Mytilus edulis: one gene and its partners. The protein of the gene in region 3 interacts with the protein of the main gene of each other region in a biochemical or structural test. Links are inferred from orthologs where the notes say so. Each region holds a gene or a part of one and is shown on either strand. Other genes may lie near its edges.

What was found. The genes of interacting proteins can lie anywhere in the genome.
Region 1: the proteins of leucine-rich repeat serine/threonine-protein kinase 1-like (region 3) and proto-oncogene tyrosine-protein kinase receptor Ret-like form a complex in vitro, tested with the Homo sapiens proteins (2 studies listed by BioGRID and IntAct, with this or other methods). The link is inferred for Mytilus edulis from reciprocal best matches to the Homo sapiens genes LRRK1 and RET.
Region 2: the proteins of leucine-rich repeat serine/threonine-protein kinase 1-like (region 3) and serine/threonine-protein kinase Nek1-like form a complex in vitro, tested with the Homo sapiens proteins (2 studies listed by BioGRID and IntAct, with this or other methods). The link is inferred for Mytilus edulis from reciprocal best matches to the Homo sapiens genes LRRK1 and NEK1.

Annotation. Positions count from the first base shown.
Region 1 is NC_092352.1:57,426,999-57,435,442, reverse strand, and holds the start of proto-oncogene tyrosine-protein kinase receptor Ret-like, read left to right. Parts: upstream 1-5,120; 5' UTR 5,121-5,909; coding exon 5,910-5,949; intron 5,950-8,444. UniProt on the Homo sapiens protein: Receptor tyrosine-protein kinase involved in numerous cellular mechanisms including cell proliferation, neuronal navigation, cell migration, and cell differentiation in response to glia cell line-derived growth family factors (GDNF, NRTN, ARTN, PSPN and GDF15).
Region 2 is NC_092351.1:3,607,403-3,615,631, reverse strand, and holds the start of serine/threonine-protein kinase Nek1-like, read right to left. Parts: upstream 3,325-8,229; 5' UTR 3,081-3,324; coding exon 2,964-3,080; intron 1-2,963. Other genes in the region: NADH dehydrogenase [ubiquinone] 1 alpha subcomplex subunit 2-like, read left to right, coding at 4,817-4,908, 7,894-8,000. UniProt on the Homo sapiens protein: Phosphorylates serines and threonines, but also appears to possess tyrosine kinase activity. Involved in DNA damage checkpoint control and for proper DNA damage repair.
Region 3 is NC_092347.1:2,554,502-2,562,502, reverse strand, and holds the start of leucine-rich repeat serine/threonine-protein kinase 1-like, read right to left. Parts: upstream 3,264-8,001; 5' UTR 3,183-3,263; coding exon of another isoform or gene 3,134-3,182; 5' UTR 2,323-3,133; coding exon 2,274-2,322; intron 444-2,273; coding exon 199-443; intron 1-198.

The DNA.
Region 1 (8,444 bases), on a different chromosome or scaffold from region 3:
TTTTCTTATTCGACTGATCAAAGTATTGAAAATTGGAGAATGCTATGCTGTGGTGAATACTTAAACAAAAAGATACATGTATCATTTACTGTTGTACGTGGAGTTGAACTCCTACAAAATCAGTTGCCGCACGAGAATTTGCCTAAAAAAGTGACATTTAAATTTTAAAATGGTTCTAATTACACACCCACAAGTTCAAATTTACTTTTTATTCGGTCAATGGGTATGAATGTCGTTTTGGAAGGCGTGGACGCTGTCCGGTGTTGATCGACATCTTAATAAATCTAAAAACCTCATATTTGCATTATGACATGCGTGAGGGGATCGGTTCTGATTGAGGACATCGTAAATGCGTGAGGGGACGTGAAACCATAATATTATATCCAAACTATGAGTATTTTAAAGTTGCCTAAATGTGGTCAGATTGTTCATGAAAAAACACATTTGTGTGCATAAACAAAATTAATGAGATAGAATTTTGAAATACATTTTGGGAAGATAGGTTTTACGAACAATAAAAGGAAAAATTTTGTCAACGATTTGTTTCTAGCTACAAATAAAAGTTGAAAAATTTCTTATCAGCCCAGTATATATTTTTTACGAAAAGAGTTAACTCCCCTTGTATTGCGTATTTAAAAAAAAAATGGATCGCGAAAACACAAATTTTGATATTTAGTTGAATATTTTGATTTATACAATACATCACAAAGTTTTCTGTATATGAATAAACAGTCTTACCAATAAATTGCAAATATGTCTCCAATAAAGGCAACAGTAGTCCACCGTTGTCGAAATTCATAAATTGATTGAGAAAAAACAAATTCGGACTACAAACTAAAACTGAGGGAAACACATCAAATATAAGAGGAAAACTACGACACAACAACAACATAACTTTTAACTTTAACACACACAGAAACGAATTACAATTTAACAATAGCCATTTTCCGGACTTGGCACAGTACATTTTAAGAAAAAATGGTGGGATAAACCCGATTTTGTGGCATGCCAAACCTCCCGCTTCTTCGGCAATGGTAAATATACCAGTTAAAGACAACATTACATGACAGGACTGCAATACAAATAAATGATAGAACATATAGGACAGAGAAACACTCCAAATATAGCTAACAAAAGGTACCAGGTTTAAAAAAAAACACTTATATATCAGACGCGTCTTTCGTCAACACACGGCTTAGTAGTGACGCTCAGATGAAAAAAGTTTGAAAGCCAAGACAAGTACATTGAGGACCAAAAGTTCCAAAAAGTTGTGTCTAATACGGCTAGGGTTTCCGCCTGGAATAAGAACATCCTTGTTATTTCGAATAATTCAAAATTTTGCAACCAGTGATGTTTTATATAATGACTATAAATAGATATACATGATAAAATCGAAGTGGTGACTGACTACACAATATAAACGGATACATAAAATTACCTAAACCAGCAAATAAAAATTCACAGCCGAGATAGCCAAAACCATAAACGCCCAAAGTGACGTAATATATGAATTTCTTAAACAATATCCCAAAAATAGGATAGACAGAATTCAGGATTAGATTTGCAATACTGATTTAACATTTATCAATAACAATTAAAATTACAATATTAATTAATATCAAATTGTGGTAGTAAACTATCGATTATTTGCCCAAATCCACGAATTTGGACAAGTATTTGAAATTTATTGGTTAGACTTTTATTCATGAAAAGAAAACATGGTCATTTATTGTTATTTCAAAATTCTATCTCATAATTTTTATTTATGCACACAAATTTGTTTTTTCATAAACAATCTAACCATATTGAGGCAACTTTCAACGACTGATAGCTTGAATATAGAGAAACATGTATGATTTCAAGTCCCCTCACGCATTCACGATGTCCTCAATCAGAACCGATTCCCTCACGCATGACAAAATGAAAATATGAGGTTTTTAGATTTATTAAGATGTCTATCAACTCCAGACAGCGTCCACGCCGCCCAAAACGACATCCATACCCATTGACCGAATAAAAAGTAAATTTGAACTTGTAGGTCTGTTAATAGAACCATTTCAAAATCTAAATGTCACTTTTTTAGGCAAATTCTCGTGCGGCAACTGATTTTGTAGGAGTTCAACTCCACGTACAACAGTAAATGATACATGTATCTCTTCGTTAAAGTAATCACCACAGCATAGCATTCTCCGATTTTCAATATTTTGATCAGTCGAATAAGAAAATTGCGATTTAGAAATGTACATACCTTTTGAAGCGGTGACAATTACTCCACTCAAGCACAACCGGAAAATCCTCTCACGGTTTTCATTGCAGAACCAAATGTTCTGCGTGTGTAGATTACCAGCCGTGTATAAGAATTCTTATAGTTTTAAAATCGAATTCATCTAAACTTTGCCTGTATTTGTCAACCTATAATGAATAAAGTCATACACTATGAGAATATATGTTCATTTAAACATACTTTACATATAAACACTATGTAAATTGTAAATAAACTTGAAATTGTAATGTTGTGGCCAAACCGGTTCTTGGGGTGAACACCAAATTTTCAAAAAAATCTTGAGGCCTGCAAGACGACTAAATTTGCTTAAAATTGGTATGGACGAATACTGTTACATGTAATGCAGATGTTTATGAAGTGTCCTATATTTTGACTTTAGTGGAACCTTAAGCCTGACAATTGATATTTTAATGTGTGTTTTTCAATGTTGTGATGTTATGCTATTATTTCAGAAAAAGGGAGGAGAAGGTTTGGATCCATTAAAACGTTTTAAATCCGCTGCAAATGTTTGCACCTGTCCTAAGTCAGGAATCTGATGTACAGTAGTTGTCGTTTGTTTATGTAACTTATACGTGTTTTTCGTTTTTTATTTTATATAGATTAGACAGTTAGTTTTCCCGTTTGAATGGTTTGACACTAGTAATTTTAGGCCCTTTATAGCTTGTTGTTCGCTGTGAGCCAAGAATCCGTGTTGAAGGCCGTACATTGACCTATAATGGTTTATTTTTTAAATTATTTGGATGGAGAGTTGTCTCATTGGGACTCACACCACATCTTCCTATATCTATTAAGTTTTTTCTTTGAAGTTTTCTTTAGATTACATGTGCATAAAGACAAGTACTTGACCAGAGTTACCCATAAACTATTAAAAAGTTATTTGAAATTATATGTATGTTTAAATTTATAGTTGAACTACAGTACCATTGTAGATTCAATAACTACAAATACAACATTAAATGATTAAGCTTACACGAATTGATCGATTGTGCCACATAAGACACATCTATATTACATCGCTTGGATTAACTGACATTACGAGATTGGGTTGATTCAAGGGAGCAGTTAAAAGCGTATCGAGTATATATCAATATACATGATTAATATTTGAACTCTAGATACATTTTTTTTGGTACTCGCTTTGAACTAACTTTCAGTATCTGCGAGTTCTCTTGCATCTGTACTTTGTGTTATATTATGGATGAGAGATAGATAAATACCTGGCCAAGTCCAGTCTGTGTTTTTGTTAGATGTGTTTTTGCTTTGTATCGATCTGATGAGTTCAGCCTTTTTTCAACTGATTTTTATAGGTTGTTCTAATGAATTTTTACGCCTCTATATTGTTCGATTACAGCATTTCCCCAGGTTAGAAAGATGGTTGAACGCTCACAAACATGTTTAACTCTGCACACATTCTTTAAGTTCATGCCCCAAGTCGGGAGACTTATTCAGTGGTTGTCGGCGGTTAATTTCTGTCATATTAGTTTTTGTATAAACCCGTTAGTTTTCTCAATTGAATTCAATGACACATATTTTTCATGCCGTGGCCTTTTATAGAAGATTATATTTTTTTCTCTCATTGTTGAAGGCCGTACATGTACCTATAATTACTTCCACCCACTTCATTTGAACTTTTGTAGATAGTTGTGTCCTAGTCAACCATAACGCATCCCCTTACTTTAACAGAGAATATTTACGGAAATTTAATAAATAAAAGAGGCTAGGCTGAGTGGTTTCACCTCAGGTAAAAAGGCTTAAAACAACGGGTGAAAACGTCATATACGAATCGGTTCCGGATGAAAGCAGGTATTAGAATAATTCAGAATTATGGACTTCCCATTTTGAATTCTCGGAGTTCGGTATTTTGTGTTATTTTACTTTTTTATTGACATATTTCACAGACTTTACATCCATTCTAAGTGAAAAATATTCCTTATTTTAAACAAAGTCTTAATATTATCAATCATATTAAACAAATAAAACCGATTTCTCAATTTAGATTTTATCTATTCAAAGTGAGCACCTTTGAAATGATAATGCGAAAATATTGTGATTCTCAGGAAATTAAAGAAGAGCTTTACAAAATACGGATTTTTTTTTTGTGTTATTAAAATTTGCTGTCACAAAATGTTAGAAATTATTATAAATTAAGGAATGTATCTCCCTCATGCAAAGCTCTGATTCCTTTCACGGATTTGGCTATACTTTTTGAACCTTTTGGATTATAATAGCTCTTCATCTTTTATATAAGCTTTGGATTTCAAATATTTTGGCCACAAGCATCACTGAAGAGACATGTATTGTCGAAATGCACATCTGGTGCAGGAAAATTGGTACCGTTAATGTTATTACAACAATACTATTTTAAAAATATTATTCTCACCGATTTCACTTATTCATAGCCAGTAAATACGACGAAGAAAATCACATTAATATGTGTCATTATTTTGTGGAATTGTCTCAACCGCAACAGAAGTTTTGCAAGCTGTTGAATATATTAATACTAATGATATTTCCATAAAAAGTCGTCGCAATCCTCTTTCTTTAAATCGTGTCATTCAAAACAGAAAATAGCAACGATCGATACATTTATCAAATTTTATTGACAAATGCATCGAAGTTGTCAATTTCACTCAGGTAATTAATTTACCTTTACCATTGATTTGAAATGTAGTTTCCCCTGAATAAAAAGAAAATGATGCCCTTAAACGTGAGTTACGGGACGATTTATTTTGTATTCTGATATTAATATCGATAAGGAAATTGAAAACAAATATTGCATGTATCTAGAAATGTGATTTCATTCTATTCATTATATATAATTATTGTGACACCCACCACTGTTCTATGGTTCATTTATTTATTGAGAACTGATTAACTTATCGCTCTTTCATCTTTGCTCTGCATGGAATCTATCCAGCTGCAGTGCTGTAAAACATATTCAATAATATTCCGAGTACATTCTTACGGCTGTAGATAAAGCCTAATCTGAATTCAAAGTCATAAAATGGAGTTTTGTTGTAAACCCTACACGATACCCGCTCCACGCACTCCTGAAAGATACATTACCCATCAGACCGTAGCCATGATTGGATTTCAATCAGTTAAAATATTGACTGAATGTTAATTTCAAATATGAACAATATAGTACCTGTCATTATTGCTGAAACTGATAGGCCGATAATCCAATAATTAAGTCGGTTCGTAGGTGTAGAGAAAAATATATTCAAGTGCATGTAAATGATAAAGAAACGTTTAAATACGCTTTTGACTAACCAACAACGAGATCTTTATTGAATTATTGGTAATTTACACTTAACGATATTTGGGGTCCGGTTAGCGTTATATTATATGAACATATTGAAATATTTGCTTTCATTTGCTACAGGCTTTATATACTGCTCCGACCACACGAGGATTTTTAACAAATATCAATAATGAAGTAAAACTCTAGGAATTGGTTTTCAATTGGAAAAATATTTTATTGTTGACTTTTGTCGTATTGACAGGTGTTGCGCTATGAAACACGGAAAAATGTACTAATACTTTATACACTGAAAAATGAATTGTAAAATTGTTACTTTTAACTCTTAGAAATGATTTGTGAACTTGGATAAGGATATACATTATGAGATACTATATTTTGTGTTTACTTGTCCTATTTCAAGGTAAGTCTTTGCTCATTTTTCTTAATTTCAAAAATTGTCGACAAAATGACAAAATCGATGGATTGTTTTATGTTTTTACTTCTTTTATGTATGGTATTGCACTGAAACGTCCTATGATTCACTGAGTTTCATTAATTGCATTCAAATCATCACACCTGAAAGACTTCGCATGTGGAATTCTGAATAAATAAATTGTTTTGGAGGATATTGGAAATATTATCTATAAAATTGAACACGCAATGCAAACTTGATATTAGCTACATTGTACTCGTCTTAAATTCATGTAATAACACATATAGTTTTTAAATAGTAGCTTTGTCATACGCCACACACACACAATTCCGGGAATTTATTGACGTTTGAAGTCCAGTGGAATACCAACGTTTTTAAGTCACATTTTGATTTTTAAGGCCTCGGTGACCGACAGGTCTTATAAATTGTAGTCTATAATGTATACAGTTATCTCTTTAGGTTTGTCAACTCTGGGGTTTAGAGTTGGAACCCCGTTCGTCTCGAGTTGTGTTCGACTACGATTTTAATTGACAAAGATAGCCAGTCTTCTTGTTCAAAATCGGGGATCTTTCAAGGTACTATGGCTTCCTAATTTTACGACAAAAAATGTCCACCATGGTATTGCCGTGGTAGCTAAAAGTGCTGTCAATCACCGGCGCACACAGATATGTGTTGTAAATAATTACTTTCTAGTTCAAAGTCCACATGAGTTTCATGATAACATCTTCTAAATACACTCATAGATACCAGGATTAAAGTTTTATCTTTACGTCAGACGCGCGTTCCGTCTACAAAAGACTCACCAGTGACGCTCGAATGAAAAAATGTTAAAAGGCTAAATAGAGTACGAAATTGAAAAACATTGAGGTCCGAAAATTCCTAAAAGTTTTGCCAAATACAGCTAAGGTAATCTTTTCCTGAGGTAGAAAAGCCTTAGTTTAAAAAAAAACTGAGTTTAGAAATGACATAACGTTCAAATTATAGTCTTTCACGACAAGAACATTTTTTTTAGTTTACTCGAGTGTTACTGGTGGGTGGTTTCTAGGAAGATATGAAATGTATTTGTACTGAAAAACAGAAGAAAAGCTCGTATAGCCGTTTATACAATGTAGTTGTCTACTCTGTTTAAATATAATTTTAATCCTGCAGTGTTTCATTGAGTTAAAATATGTATTTTCCCCCAAATCAGCACGACTTTATAGAAAACCGCAATTCCAAATTGAACTGTGATGTAAACAGTAATTTGAGCATATTACGTTCGCTCATGACAGAAGCGGGATACCAGCAGACTGTGAACGTATATTTTACTTTTATCGTTCCATGCCATCTGTCACCCTGTATTTGTTCAGGAGAAAGGTCAATTGCAGGATAAAAAAAGATATCAAATAAACAAATTCAAAATCTTCCATTTGGACAATATTGAACTACTCATTGGAATTGAAAAGAAAACAAAAAACACATAAGCAAAACATGTTACCGATCCAAATACAAACTTATCATTTCGGATCAGTTACCTTTTTTTCTTAAAATGCTAGCAAATCATTGCATTACGGACAACTTTCAGAATACCACAACCATGTGGCGAAAAAAAGAACAAACTTGTAATACTTGTAAATTAAGTTGAGAGTCTAGCGCACGTACCATGTGCGGGGTTCGAACTCACAACCTTAGTGTTGATAGATGATGACCCACTTAAACCACTGCCATGTTGTTAACTTTTTTTGTTTACTATGTTTAAATAACGTGTCATTTTTTTGTAAATAGTTTGGCAACCTATTAAATAAGACGAATAAAATATTCATTTATTTTGCTATAATCTCATAAATGGTACCATTTATCACAATGTCTCAATACCCTTAAATGTGACATTGATTTGAAACATTGACTTTATGGATTCAATGCGTTTATGAAGTTAAGTATACTTCCACGGAAACGGTAAACTCATTAATACGATTTCTTATTTCTAAACTTATAAAGAACAAAATAAGGCAATTACAAATAGAATCATTGGGAACTACGTTTGAAAAATAACACTTGACCTTAAGAGTGTCTCGAACTGTTCATAAAACAAATATAAGATTCATCTACGTTTTGGAATAACTCTCCATTTTTAAGTAGGCAATTGCGAACAGATTCGTAAACTTCATTAGCAACTACGTTTGGAAAATAACACTTGACCTTAAGAGTGTCTTAAACTAATAAAAACAAAACGAACATAAGAGTCTTCTTTTGCATGATCACTGGTGTCAACGTGGTGATTGTAACTGCAATTCCGATCATCCCAATATGGCGGACCATGATTATGTAGGTGTTTCTTGTTATGATATAAATCTGAAAGTAAGTTGTTAACGTGGAGAAATTGGCCATATAAAATTTACCTGAGTTTGCGTCAAGATTCAAGATGTCAAGATTTTTTATTTCTCAAACACCATATTGGGATGCTCGTAATTGCAGTTTCGATTATCACGTTGACACCAGTGATG
Region 2 (8,229 bases), on a different chromosome or scaffold from region 3:
TACACAGTTAGCTATATAACTAATCTTCCCTGAGGCCCTCATCATGAGAAATCAAACAAAATGCAAACATATACATTGCATACATTAGTATAAAAAGTCAAGTATGATAATTATGTTTAGTACAACTTGATAAAATGTGATGTAAAAAAAATAAACATGATGACATGATCAGTTTTTAATATTATTGATACAGCTAGGTTGATTTCAATAAATGATCTGTTATTTTGTATTTGAAAGAATTAACATTTGTAATATTTCTTAACGGTATTGGCAAATTATTCCACAAGAATGGTCCAGAATACATAAAAGATTTTTTGAACAATTCTGTTTTTGGTTTAGGGAGTATGAGGTTTCCTTGAACAGCATTTCTCAAGGGGTATGGATTTCTGTTTGAAACATAATGAAACTTGTTAGTAAGATATGATGGGGCATTATTTTTAATGCACTTAAATGTCATCACTAACTTATGATATTTTATTCTCTGTTCAACTGTCATCCAGTTTAAGTGTTTGAATAAGGGTGCAGAAGGAGCGAATGGGTCTGTTTCTAGTATTAATCTAGCAGCCCTCTTTTGTAATTTTAATATCCTTTTTTAAATACACCAATCTAAGATTCTTCCTAGCTATGGTCTACATGTTTCACCTGCAAGGCAGGCTTCATCAGGACAATTTTTATACAGAAATTAATCCCTGAAGTACTCAAAGTGGTGCATAAAATTTGACGTCGTCATGGTGAGAGAAACAATGAAAAGTGAAAGTAGCAATACAGAGTTATATATAGATAAGATAAATATAGAAAATTAAAGTTTGTTTAAAATGTAACTTGAGTTTGTTTTACTATTATATGATACATGAAATTGTTCTAAGGCTTGGTATCTAATTGGACGAACTTCCCATGGTTCCTACCACTTCGCAAGGCTTCTCTTCCAACCTTGCCTTGTGTATTATTTTAATGTTGCATTCATTTGACAACCCTGCATACCAAGGTATCCACTTCAGGGACTCTATCGAAATGATTCACACAGGCGTTGGTCATGTTGGTACACCTCATGGAGTTTAATTTTATAAATTACAAGTATAATCATGATAATACATATAATAGAATTTATCACTTTTATATTTCGGAATCAGTGACACTTCATTACTTGAACAATAGCATGAATAGACATGATAGACGTCATACAACAATCACTTTTCCTTTGTGGTCCTAGACATTATCTATCGTGACATCAAAATTTAGGAGAAACCTTTGTGATTAAGGACAAATAGCGATTAATGGTGCATGATAATGTCAATACTCAACAGACGAATTTCAAATTTGTGCTCTTTCCCCTTTATTTTCTTTGCCACAATGCTAATGTTATTATGTCAATGGTCAAAGTAGGAACCAATTATTCAATTAAGTTGTTTACACCATTTGAACTTAAGGACAACTACTGCAACTCATTCATAAAAAGAATCTTAGATTGGTGTACTAAACATGTGTAACCGGAGAGCATGTACAAATGTATCTACTCTACAAATTTATATCGTCACCACTGGGATTCAAACCCCAGTCGCCTGTGTGATAGTCAGTTAACCCATTGAGCCAAAGAATTGATTCCCTAGCTCAGTTGATTAAGACTGGCTTTATATGTTCTACTTGTACTAAGGAGGGGAAGCAACCCCGCTACACATGGGTGCCTCTTAAAGATCGCCGCTGCAAAGACCGACTCACCATGGCATACAAGATCCACAATTGATTGGTGGATATTGACCCCTCTAATTATTACAAACCCGGAGATTCAACAACCAGAGGAGGCCACCGCATACACCAACAGCGCACACTAAAAGACCAATACAGGTACTCCTTCTTCCCAAGATCAACCAGGGAATGGAACACTCTACCGGAAAAAGCCACAATAGCAGCTACACTAGAAGGGTATCAGGTCCGTTCGCGCCCAATATAGTTTCGCACCCTACACGTTTGCACCTCACATTTTCGCCCCCCACGTCCGTTCGCACCCTACATGTTCGCGCCCAATTTTTAATAAAATTTAAGTTAAATTGTTAGAAATTATTCATATGAATATAACAAATAATTGTATTCTATTTGAATAAAATTTGAGAATTTATTGAATAGATTTTTTTTTTATCAATCTGATGATTAATTATTAAATGTTGATTATGTATGATTATTGCTAATTGGTATCAGAGACGTATTATATGTCTCTGTTGGTATTTATAAACAGCCTAATTGGTGTTATTGTTTACTGTTGTTTATAAATCATGATTGTTGTTCTAAATTGCTTTGATGTAAATACTAATAAAATAAATATTAATCATAGCAATACACTTACCATGCATAAAAGCAGCAGCATACCAGTTGTTCAACATGTTGTCAGATTCGCACTTAATTGACTAGAACCAGTGAAAAACAAATTATTTCAATACACTAACCAAAACACGATTAAGAATTATTCAACTCACTCCGACTTTAAAACAAGGACTTTTTTTTTATAATCTTGTCATGACACAAAAAAACTTGTCAGTATCTCGAATTATTTAGAAACAATGGCATATATATTCATACCAATACACCTCCAAAAAATCGGTAAAATTGGGTGCGAACGTGTGGGGTGCGAACGAACTTTTTGCAAAATTTGGGTGCGAACATGTGGGGGGCGAATGTGGAAGGGTGCGAACGTGATTGGGTGCGAACAGACCCGGATTCCACTAGAAGAGTTCAAGGCCAGCCTTACCATCCTGCCAGAGGCCTTGACAGGAGCTTCACACACCTAGATCTCCTTTGACCCCAGATGTACATAGTTTTATTTGTAAATAATTTTCCTGTAAATAGTTTTTATTAAGTGAGGAGGGAAGGTCTCATGATTTCACGAGCAAGAGTCATTTATACACTCAAGAAGAGTCAGACTCTGTACTGAAAGAAGAAGAAGAAGACACATGCTAAAATGTATACTGTACCCTCAACATTTGAATTTCTTTAACGACATACTGCTGACCATTACTTTTATCCCTCACAAGCAATGCTTTGCCAAATGCTCCTTCGCCTATACTTTTAATTTTGGTGTATTTTTCCATGTTTATTTACTTTTTGATAAATTTATTTTTCTTTCATTACTTTCGATTTTCTTGAGATTAATTAAAAAAATTCTGATGGACCATGATGTAAAACTGTATGTTATATAACTAAATTGAATTTGGTTTAAATGTCTTGGTGGGTACAACTATAAAGAAAAATTCATTTCATTGAAATATTCGATGTAAAATTATATTTCGTAAAAGTGGAATTTCAGCGGAAGTGTACAAAATCACGGTCTCACTAATTAGCGACAACAAGAATTTTAGCGACAACAAGCGTCAACAAGCGACAAGAAGCGACAACAAGAATTATTTTAGCGACAACAAGCGACAAGAAACTATTTAGCGACAAGAAAACATTTTTTTGTAATTAAAATTAATTATTGCAATGAATTTTAAAAGAATATGCAAAGAAAATAATTTTAGCGACAAGAAAGTTAAAATTGATAGAAAAAAATGAAACATTATTTACATAATATTTTATCATCTATTATGAATAACAGCCAGTATTACGTTTAATCATTGTATTATGAGATTACTTTTCCTTGTGTTTTAGAACATATTATTTATCTTATAATTTGTTTTTTAAAACTCTTTTCGTGCAATATGTATTAAGCTCGCAAAATGAATTACTTGTGCATCATTGTCCTGAAAATATTGACACAAATTGTGAAATACAAAGAACTGAAACCAAACAGGAGGAAAAGAAAATTGAAATGTGAATGTTTTCATCTTTTTATTTGTTTATTGCCTCATTAAACGATATTTATCATGTTTATGCATATTGATTGAAGATGAAAGGAAATTAATGACAATCTTGAGTTTTCAACAGGTGTTCACTATTTACAATGATTGTATATTCTGGCGCGTGTAATTGTATAGTCTGACGCGTGTACAAAGTTGACGGTGTTAATTGGATGTTATTGTACACGCTTAAATAATAAAGATGGCAAAGCGTGGCTGAGAGTTCTACAAATAAAGCATCGAATTGACATAACAAGAGTACACTTAGAGCATAGTATTAAGCAAATGAATCAAAATATTATATTCTATTATGCCCGCTCCATATATATCTCCATTCGTTTATTCATACTTTGACTTTGATGAAAACAGATACATACATTATTTTATACATATTCTTCATATTTAAAAATAAAAAAAAGAAGCTCAATCTCTTTCTTTTTCACAAAAGTCAAATTTCTTCTTCTACCAATATACTATTTAAATATAAACTTCACAATCTCTTTCTTTCTCACAAATGTTTCATTTCTTCGTCTATCTATATAATAAAACATTTTAATTAGACATATCTGCTCGTATATTTAAAAAACCCATTAAATACAAATTTCTTTATATCTAATAAAAAAAAAATGTTTTATTGTCGCTAAATAGTCTTCTTGTCGCTTGTTGTCGCTAAAATAATATGTGTTGTCGCTTCTTGTCGCTTGTTGACGCTTGTTGTCGCTTCTTGACGCTTGTTGTCGCTAATTAGTGAGACCCCAAAATCATCCATAGTTTCGTTAATACAAATTTAAGATTTTCATAAAAAACGAACATAACAATGTAACATGTGTAAAAGAATAGTATTCTTTCTAAATTCAATATCGCTGCCTCTATCAATTATTTGATTTACCAAATATTTCTGATACTCATTATACTTATTTTATATAATAAATATTTCCAAAATAGTTGTCTTCGTTTCACCATTTCATCTTACATTTACAAACCAGCTGAAAATGGCGTCTGCTAAAGCACTTCGCTTTGGACAGAGTTTAAAAGAGCTGAGAATTCATTTATGCCAGAAATCTACAGCAAGTCAGGGTGTCAGGTTCGAACCTAATATAATGAGTTCATATTTAAAATAACATAAGCTGCTCATATCTTGCAAAATCACTTGCAAAATTGCATTTCTTTATAAAGACTTACGAAAAATAGAATGTGACCTTCACCAAAAATATCTTCATTTTAAAGTAATTGAACAAGTTCTTTATACTATGACCAGGGTTTAAATGTTTTGAGAGAAATGCCGATCAAATACCCGTCCAGGAAGGTTTCCATGGCATAGACAATGTAGTAGATACTAGTACTACTGAGTACTGTAAGTTAGCCGAATCCAGGTCCGTTCGCGCCCATTCACTTTCACACCCACTCATGTTCGCCCCCTTTCATTTTCGCACCCAAAGTCCGTTCGCACCCTACAGGTTTGCGCCCAATTTAATTGGTTTTGTGTTTAATACTTTGTAATCAAGTTTTGGCAAGTGTATTCTTATAAGTATATTTGTTGTCATTGTCTCAAAATAAAGTAAGACAGCATTTTTTTTTGTGCGTTGAATAAATCTTAATCGTGTTATCGATAGTGTATTGTTGAAAAAAATAAAAATCCTTTCTAAATAAAGTGGGATTCTGTCAACGTTTTATTTTGTGTTGAACAACTCTTAATCATGTTTTGGTTAGGTGAATTGCAATAACTTTGTTGCATTGACTTGTTTCAGAACAAATTGAGATTCTGACGACGTTTTTTTGGGGGGTGTTGAATAAATTTGATCATTTTTTGGTTATAATAGTGCATTACTATATTTTATTGTTTCATTGTTTATGTTGTTTCAGATCAAAGAGACCAAGCTGTTAAAAAAAATGATCATTTGTGTTTTTCATTTAAAATCTTCAATGTTTTACTCATACCAAGCTAAATATATTCAGTATTTACACCATAGCAAATTTAAAACAACAATCATGATTTTCCAATCATTCAACTGGAATTTGAATTAAAATTGGGCGCGAACGTGTGTGACAGAATATAAGTTCCCCCATAATATATGTTCACACGGTTACATGGAAATGTAACAATAATAAAATAATTATTGTTACATTGAAGACTAATTGCCGGAATGCAGGGCTGGGTAAGGAACCCATTAATTACGAATTTAACAATAGTAATTGAGTCTACGGTTTCATTAATTGCGTTATTTTTACATAAATACACTTCAATGTACGCTGGGACTAGTAATGTATCAGTTTTTTGGGCATGTTTTAGTCCGACGTATTTTGGTGAAACCACTCTAAGCAGCCTTTATACATACAAGTGATGCAGCAATGTGCACGTCAGTATTGCATACTGTACAATTCCATTCTGCACTAACGAATGACTATTGTGGATTATTATATGATTTTATGTTCACATCGCTCTGATTTCAATATCCAACTTAGCATAGCTGAAAAACTTATAAAACTTAAAAGTCAATTTGAATGCAATTAATGTTAACAGTTGCCAACATTCATTCGTTAATCGTTGTTCTTAATTGGCGAAAAAAATAAGCAACAAAACTAGGGAAGGCTAGTTTAAGTTTAATTAATCTACCGTACGTTGAAGTGCAGTAATGCAACAATAACTCAATGTAACCGCAGACACAAATATTATTGTTACATTCGTAATTAATCGGATCCGTACCCCATCCTGTATTCTGGCAATAAGTCTCCAATGTAACAATAATTATTTTATTATTGTTACATTTCCATGTAACCGTAACCAGTGCCTTGTTTTAAATTGATATGATGTAAAACCTGCATGTATTTAGCTTTGTATGAGTAAAACATTGAAAAATTTAAAAGAAAAACACAAAGGATAATTGTTTTTAACAGCTTACCACTTTGTTCTAAAGCGATCATTAAACAAAAAATTATAGCAATATACTAACCACAAATGAACCAAAAAAGATTAAAATTTATTCAACAACAAAAAAATTAGTCGAATCTCATTTTATTTAGAAACTATATATTTTTTTAACTATACACTATCCAAAACATGGTTAAGAATTATTTATTACAAAAGAAACGTTGTCTCACTTTATTTTGAGACAATGACAACAAATATACTTATAGCCATTAGGAATACACTTGCCAAATCATGACTACAAAGTTATTGAACACAAAACCAATAGAAATTGGGCGCAAACATGTAGGGTGCAAATGTGTAGGGGGAGAGAGTGAAAGGGAGCAAATGTGAATGAGCGCGAACGTTCCCAGATTCAATTCTTCTTTAGCTCAGTCTGTTAACAGGCTGACTTGTAACACAGAGGTCCCAGGTTCGAGTCCTGGTGGAGACAAGCAATTTTCAAATGAAAATCATGCGCTCCTGCACAACTACTGTCCTTTGACTTTGTACAAAAAGTTGCTTCAAATTCAGAAATCAACAGTATTAACACTCAAAAAGACTTAACAGGTATGGACTTTGACAAAGTCCCACACCAAAGACTCATCGTTTTTATTTGAATATACACATACATGTGAAAGTCATATACAAATCTATCAAATCTAAAAAATAGTTATTGGTACATCCCTCAACACAGAGCCTTTTCTTTCACTGAACAGCAAGCTATTAAAGTGGCTCAAAATGACCAGGGTAAAAAAAATTCACAGTCCAATAAAAAAAGATAATTTTTAATTGAGAAACACTTTTATCTGAAGAATCTGTAAAAGTCCAGTAGAATCTCACTTTTGGTTGACGAATAGTTTAAATTCTAAAAAGTTAATATTTAATGAAGTCAAATTCTATAAAGTTAATATTTTATGAAGTCAAAATTCATAACTAGACTGGTATTTAATTTCTTCCTTATGCTAATGATAGTCCATTCCACTCATATGAACCACATCAATAAACTGAATGACAGGTTCCTGACTGCTTGAAGTCCAGTGACAAATTATGTTTTACTATTCAAAACATTGAATAAGGTGAAGTAACTTTCCAATGACAGGAAAATCAAAATATATACTTATATGTTGTAATACATTGTATATTTTAATGTTGTTATTTCAGAGAGTTCATAGAGAATTACTATGTTGGTGTTAAGCAGAGTAACCCTAAATTTCCTATTTTAATTAGAGAATGTAGTGGAGTACAACCAAAAGTCTATGCTAGATATGGTTAGTTATTTTTTTAGTTTTCTTTAATATACATGTACATGATTATTTTTTTGATATATATATATACTAGAACACACCCGCGAAATCGCGGGCATATACAGCTTGTGAACTGTTGTAGGATGATTTTTTGTAAAAGATAATTTCATAAAAGGTATCAAAAGCGCTCTACCTTTTTCCAAAGTCAGATATTTGATTCCTTTCTGTTAAATTCAATTATTTTCGTGTTTCT
Region 3 (8,001 bases):
GCAACCATTAGCTTTTAAACAAATTATCTCCCTTGAACCTAAACCAAAATGTTTACTTACTTTAAATAAAAACTTAAACCCCATACAGGACAGATCGATTAAGGGAGGGACAACAGGAAGAGAGATGGAAAAAACTATAGTCAAGAACACATAAATGCCCCTCTACTATGGTGGGAGGGGCATAATAAAATACATTACCTCTATAGAAGGCAAGTTTACATCACAACCATTAGAAATAAGCACAATCACAATATCAACACAAATATCTTCCACTGTACAAGCATAATTCAGTAATGGTAAATCCTCAAATAACGGTACTGTTAGGATATCACGGTCATCTCCACTATCCTCCCATTCGTCCAGTACACTGACCAGTCCATTTTCCAAGGTTTCAGCATTGCCAGAGTTGATCAACCTTATAATATTTGTTACATTCACCATATCTATAAATGAAATGTTTGGTCTATTAGTTTTGATAATTGATGATATATTATTGATTAAAATTAACAAACTTATAAATACTGTGGCTTTATTATACTCCGTTTAATACAAATCTTTTGAGTTTTGGGGTATACAGGTGAAAATTTAAATGTTCAATGAATTATAATTGTTCAAAGACTTTGGAAAAACGAAAGTAAATATCCATGAAAACGCAAGTTTTCGTCGAAAATAGATACTCATGAAAACAAACGAAAACTACAGTAGATCTATGCATTAATACATACACTAACAGTGTTTCAGCACAGAACCATAGAGATTAATATCAAGTATGTTACTGAATTTGAAATGTATCCCATCTAATTTTATGGTATATATCTTGTCTTTAAAAACTTTCTATCTAAACTAGCTATTTCTGTTTTCATTAGGAAATTTCATCATTTCAGAATCAATTTCAGAATCTAATGTGTTCTGTAAAATATTCTAACCTCTTTTGATTCCATAACCTCATACTAAACATGCTAAAAGATTTGACTTTCAGGAAATGCATTCTGACCTTGACACAATCTAATCATGCTAATGTTTGGTGTGTTTATTTTAAATATGATTATTTGAAGTGGCCAGCGTACTAAAAGATTTGACTTTCAGGAAATGTATTCTGACCTTGACTAATATCTAATGTGTGGTGTGGTTATTTTACAAATGATTATTTGAAGTGACCAGTGTCCAATGTAACTGATTACAAATGAAAGCCAAGAACAAGTTTCTTTGATAATATGCCAGGCTCTTTGAATCATATGTATGACCGTTCCTCAAAATTTTCAACTGGATTTACATAAATGTTATGTTGTAAAAACATTGAAACAGATTCAAACAGAGAATTATGCTAAAGTTTGATTCTTTAAATGTCCATTGAGGCTTAATTTGTATAGTTGTTTAAAAGTTGATTATATCATGGATGAAAAATCTTTCTTTCTTTATTTCCATATGATTTTAAAGGAGTAGTAAACTATGATGTACTTTACCAAAAATATAAATGTATTACTTAATCATGTTAATTATACATTGTTATAGGGAAAATAATTCTCATATTTCGAAAACACTTTAAAAAATGCATCTAGTGTCATTCAGGTTATAAGTAGGACAGGTGCAATTTACTCATATTTCAAGTTTTCTCAGGATAAAAAAACATAAATATGTAAAAATGAAAATAAGAAAATAAGAAAAGAGGATGAAAGAATTTAAAAATTTAATAATATATATATGAAGTATCTTTAACACTACATTATAACTTTCAGGAAATGAAAATGTCAATTCAAATGAGGTCATTATTGTGGTTTTCTAAGATTCATAACAAATCGAATCAATTTTACATTTAGTTATAAAATGAATCAAACTTACTAACACACCTGCCATAGTTTAAACATGTTAAATTTACAGAAAATCAAGAAAAAACAACAAAACACTAGATAGAAAACTGCAGACTGCAAGCAACATGAACCCTATCCAAAACTGTGGTAACATACCATGTAAACTTATTTGCTCAATGCCTACTTCAAATATTAAGTATAGTTTGTGTTGCATTATAAATCTGGTAAAAATCTACATAGATCAATACAGAAGTCATTGTATATATTTACTTTCATACTCCTTAATTTTTTTTTAGAGTACATCAAAGGTTTACAAAACAGTTTGATGTCTTCAAAAGAAAGTCAAATTGTTTTATAGTATATTATATATATATAGACATCATAGTAGTAACGACAATGTTTTTTTGTTATCTATTTTAAAAACAAACAAAGTATATACCACTCTCAGATAACAACTGAACATACCATAGATCCACTGACTTGCTCTTTTAGTAAATTCTGAATATCTGGCCATTTTCCTTTGGGTAATTCAGTTAGAATATTCATAAAAATTTACAACTTTAGAGAATTTTCTGACTTCAACTTAAGTTTTGATAATGGTACATCTGAGAAAGTTTATAATTGACTTCATGCAATTAATAATCTATATTAATGAGTATATTCCTGCATGCCAATGTTATTCAAACCTGTAAAATAGCTAATAAAGATGAATCTACTTTATCCCTTCAACACACCACCGACGGTTGGTCACATTTTATGTCTTGTTAACATTTTATCAAATATCAATTATCATAAATATTATCGTTGATGTTTATCTGATTATACACATATATATCCCAGTCATATCTTAAGACAAATTAAAAGTTCACATTGTCAGGTTGTCTTAGTAGATTAGGTCAAACTTTGACACTTCATTAGTAATTGTGGTACTATGTATAAAACGGAGAAGAAGTCTTTCAATACAACATCTTTCTGCTTTAATACACATGTATCTATCACATTTCATTATAATCTTTATAACTATAATTTCAATGTCTGTACCAGTATATATAACTCAATCAATAAAAAACTTCTTCTCAAACAATATAAAACTACTTATATAATTCCTTGATTGCTTTTAAATTCCAAAGTCTGAACAGAGCTGCTAATTTTAGATACTATCCTAAAGAAACTAAATCCATGCATCTGCATCAAAACTTGAAAACTGAGTCTATATAAATAAGCACATGTTCCTACTTCCTAGATGTTAATATGATGTTGATTCACATGTATAAAAATATGTATTCCTCTGCAATTAAGTGTAAAAAGTTTACAGCAATACGTACGGCTGTCATTTATATTCTTTATATGTAATATTGTAACAACGAACCACATCGCATGCACAGGTTTCCAAGTTTAAAATAACCTAAGTATTAACACAAATATCTGTCATTTGTGTGTACACATTATAGGAAGACAGATATACTTCCTGAATGAGTTAAATACACATATTTCTAACAGTTGAAGTACTTTATTCAAAGATTGAGATTTAAATCCATTCACCCACATTAAACGGGGGTTTTAGTTTGTAAAGACTCACAGGAAAAAAATGCATTGTGCATGTCCTAATTATTTAACCCATAATGAGTTTACTAATTATTTTATGTGACAGATATTTAGGCATCAGTAATCAAGCTAAAAGTGTACTATTTTTTTCCTTCAATTCAGTAAATTTAGTTTTAATGGGGTTTTTTTATCATTAAACTAGTATACTCTCCTGTATAATTATAGTGTGGTCCTAACATTTTCCACAAACATGTGGAGAACCAAGATATATCGATAAATAGATATCAAATGTCTACAAATTATATAAAAATTATTCTAATGTAAGAAAATATTAATCCTTTATTAATTATTATGAGCTAGAATAATATATAACAGCTCTATATAATATAATATTGTGAAGCACTCTGAAATATTTTGAACCTATTTGCCACAACTACATGCAATAAAATAATATATATAAATCAAAGAGCTGATAGCTCTGAGGTGGAAAAAGGTGAATAAAAGTTTACTTGAATTACCATAAAAGCAGCCCCACTAACCCAGCCTGCTTTGGATTTTTTTCTTCAAACAAGAATGTGTCATAAGTACATGGATTTCCCATCTGTACAATCATTTTCTATGTTCAGTGGACTGTGAAAATTTGGTAAAATCTTTAAAAAACTTCATCAAAAACTACCTCGGCAATAAACCTTAACCTGAAGCAGGACAGACGGACAGACTAAAACATAATGCCCATAATGGGGCATAAAAATAGTAAGACTTGTTACATACCTGCCAACTTTTGAAAGTTCCCATCAGGGTTTTTAGTGCGGGACAACAATTTTAAAGGTTACAATTTTTAGCTAAGTGCACGATCTGGATTGTCTAGAAAAAGTGTCATATTTGTATGATGAACTTACATGCCTTTTTCTTAAGTCTGTTTGCATGATTCTAGTTATTAAATCGTTAGAAAAGATGAACATGTAGCCAGCAGACCAGGGTTTATTTTCTTGTGTAAGAATATTAGATGCTTGTTGAAATTTCCAATTTTGAATTATGCACAAAGATGGACCTTTAACAGGTTGGGAACAACACTCCAAATGAGGGGTAACCCTCATTGGAAGTACATTACAACCCACTGTAAAAAATGAGCACCTTTATATTCATATTATTTGATGAAACTTTTCGCTAAGAACTATGCATCTATCAAGTCTTAATTGGTCAAAACATGTTAAAAAAATTTTGTGATGTTTCTATAAACTTACATCTTTTTTTATTAATTTGAACCCTCATTTCGAAAAGTTGTTCCAAATACAATGAATTTTCCCACTATCTTAAAAATGTTCTTTCTTATTTTTTTCAACAGTAAAATTACACCTTGATTTAGGGACAGTCCCTCATTTGAAGGACACCACTCATAATGGGTGGGGGGGGGGGGTCTTCGTGAAAGAAAAAATAGTATATTGTCCTTTAAATGATTTAATTGAATACAAAAATAAAATATGTTACAACATGTATTATGTCAAAAAATTAGTGTAAAAAATACTATTAATCATCTTTATGGTAGTAATGCATCATTGAATTTTGTCAATCAGCCATGCTTTTATCCTTCAGCTGTGTAAGAACCTGCTTGCAGATGAAAATTCACATGCCATTTTCACGATTTTACAACTAGATGAAAACTACACTCCATACAGCGTTATCGTTCGGGTCATACTTCCCTTTCTCTACAAACAATGTAAAGAAGCGTAGTTAGATGTCACCACTTTTTCAGAGTTTGGATAAAATCAAAACAACACAAGTTCATCGTGAGTAACACAGAATTTGATTGGCTGAACACGTTTGTTTTACAAGGAACACGTTTTTTAGAGGGTTTTTTAACGATACCCTTAATATTAAATTTTTTTAATAAATGCAATGAATTATTATAAACGTCCTTGATAAGAGTAAAAAGAATGAACACAGGGCTGTACGGGCGAAAGAACTCAGGACGAACAGACCAAGGGCAAACATGTAAACAGGGCAAGTTGTCCCGATACCCAATTCAGGCATGTGTACTACAAATATCGACAGTAAAAACATCCGGTTACAAGGAAACAAATGTAGATGGGATGAAATCTAATAATTTACATAAATAAAAGGGTACATATTTACGATTGTGATTGTCTTTCAATCCTAATTTACAAATTAAATGATTCAGATGCTTACTTTATATGTTAAATCGGTGTCAGGAACCGAAATATTTAACGGAATAAATTGTAATATACAGAAACGAATGCAGCATACGGAGAATCAATGATTTTAAGTCAGCACCATTGGCCTTCAGAAGACTTGAAGTCTTCTTCCACCAAAAATTTTCTGGTAAAGCATGTTTGTTGAATTGAAAAAATTTTAACTTATATATGTGTAAAAAATATTTTCCTGCATCAGTTTTTTGTAGCGTCATATTTTGAAATACAACTAAGTATACATTTTTTGTTCTTTAGGGGGCACTAGCTGTCAAATTTGTGTTTACTGATTTGACTCAAATTCTCATATTTGATTTAAAATCATGTGAAAAGGCTAAAATAAACAACTTACAGGGCATGGACTCAATTATATGTAGCTTTGTTTATGTCTATTTTAGTCTATAAGCCATCTAATTAACTATCTAGTTGACCTCCGATAAGCGATATACACATGAATATAGTTATAAATAGATATCAAAATGATGCAATTGGATTTTTCTAAGTCTGTTTAATTTAATTTTATAGATTAAAAATAAATGTTAATCATTGTCTTTACCTGTATGAATGATTTTTTTAATGGATCGAAGCAGTCAATCAAATAATTTACCTTCGTTTTACTTTCAATGTTGACATTCTTTTCCTTTAACTTACTTTACACGCACAGTTCATTTTTATTCATTTCTATCTAAAGGGGTTAAATTGAAGTGATATGAATACAGATTCAATGAAATTGAATTGTTTACTTGCAAGTGAATAATTCATCGTCAATATTTCTTAGCTTATTTCGACAAAATTAAACCAGACTTGCTGCTTAAAGCGAATTATAATTTCATTTTTTCACTTTCCTTAATGATTGAACAAAAAAAATCATATTTTAAGGAGGTAGACCTAGGTGAAGGGAAATAACTCTTAAAATCATCAGTACGTTTGTGTCAACCATTTTCAAAAAACATATTCTAAGCTTCTAGGTTACATAGATTATTTTCAATCTGTTTCAGGTAAATGCTTAAAATACATTGATGAACTTGACTTTTACAAACGCTTAACTGATTTAAAGAGTTATCTCCCTGAACCAAGGTCTACCCCCTTAAATTTTATCTGGTAGCTTGTACCGTTTTAATCATAATTTCTATACATGCATAAATGATTAATTCCACGAGAGTTAATTTTTTGTGGGAAATTATTTTTTTGTAAGAAAGTAATCGATGTTCTTAATAAATTATTTTTCATTGAGATTTTAGTTTGCTTTTACAACATTTATTTTAAGAGGTCAGAATATACAGAGCAGTTGAAAAGCTATGAATCTGAAGAAGCACCAAACAATAGATTGAAGTCCCTACTGAAAGCCTGATACCAAGTTTCAGGAATCTTTGTTTTCAAGTTCCTGAGATAAAAGTGACAAAATTGAACTGGACCTTTATGTTTAGTAAACCCATAAAACATTCCATAGATGATTTGGTGAGAATTAGATTCTAAAATACAATTTCAAGCAATTTTCTGTTTTATCAAGGGGCATAATTCTCAAAAGAAAAAAGTAAAATCAGTCAAATTCAAAAAGATTCTGTGGTTGACAAATTTCAATAGATTTGGTAAATTAAAGCTTACTTTAAGTTTAATACTTAAATAAATCCTTCATAAACAAAAAAAAGGTTATTTCCCATTTTATCAACTATATGATTTCTCTGAAATTCTCTGAAATCATAAAAAGTGAATGAATATAAACTGAATCTACATTATGAACAAAAAATAATCTTTGTCCTGCTAGTTTAATTAAGGGGAATACCTAATGAAAATCAAATGTGAAATTGGTCAAATTCAAAAACAAAATTTCAAATATGAAATGTGAAATGATATAGTAGATGCCTTCTTAAGTTTATGTCTGGAAACCAATAAAATACGGTAAGCTATTTTCTGTTTTATAAAGGGACATAATTCTGAAACTAGAGGCTCTCAAGAGCCTGTGTTGCTCACCTGTTACTGTATTTACTGATGTCGGCCATGTTGGTTGATAGGCGGGGGTCATTAGACACTTTTTTTAAAATAGATACCCTAGTAATGATTGTGGCCAAGTTTGGTTAAATCTGGCCCATAGTTTTAGAAAAGAAGATTTTTGTACAAGTTACAAAAATGACGAAAAGTTGTTCAATATTGACTATAAAGGACAATTTTGGGCATGTTGACTTATTTGTAGATCTTACTTTGCTGAACATTATTGCTGTTTACAGTTTATCTCTATCTATAATAGTATTCAAGATAATAACCAAAAACTGCAAAATTTACTTAAAATTAACAATTTTAGGGCAGCAACCCAACAGTGGGTTGTAGGATTCATCTGAAATTTGTGAGGGGATAGATCTTATTCTGATGGACATTTAAATCTTGAAAGATTTGCCCTAAATGTCTTAGTTTCAAAGATATAAAGCAAAAACTGCATTTTACCA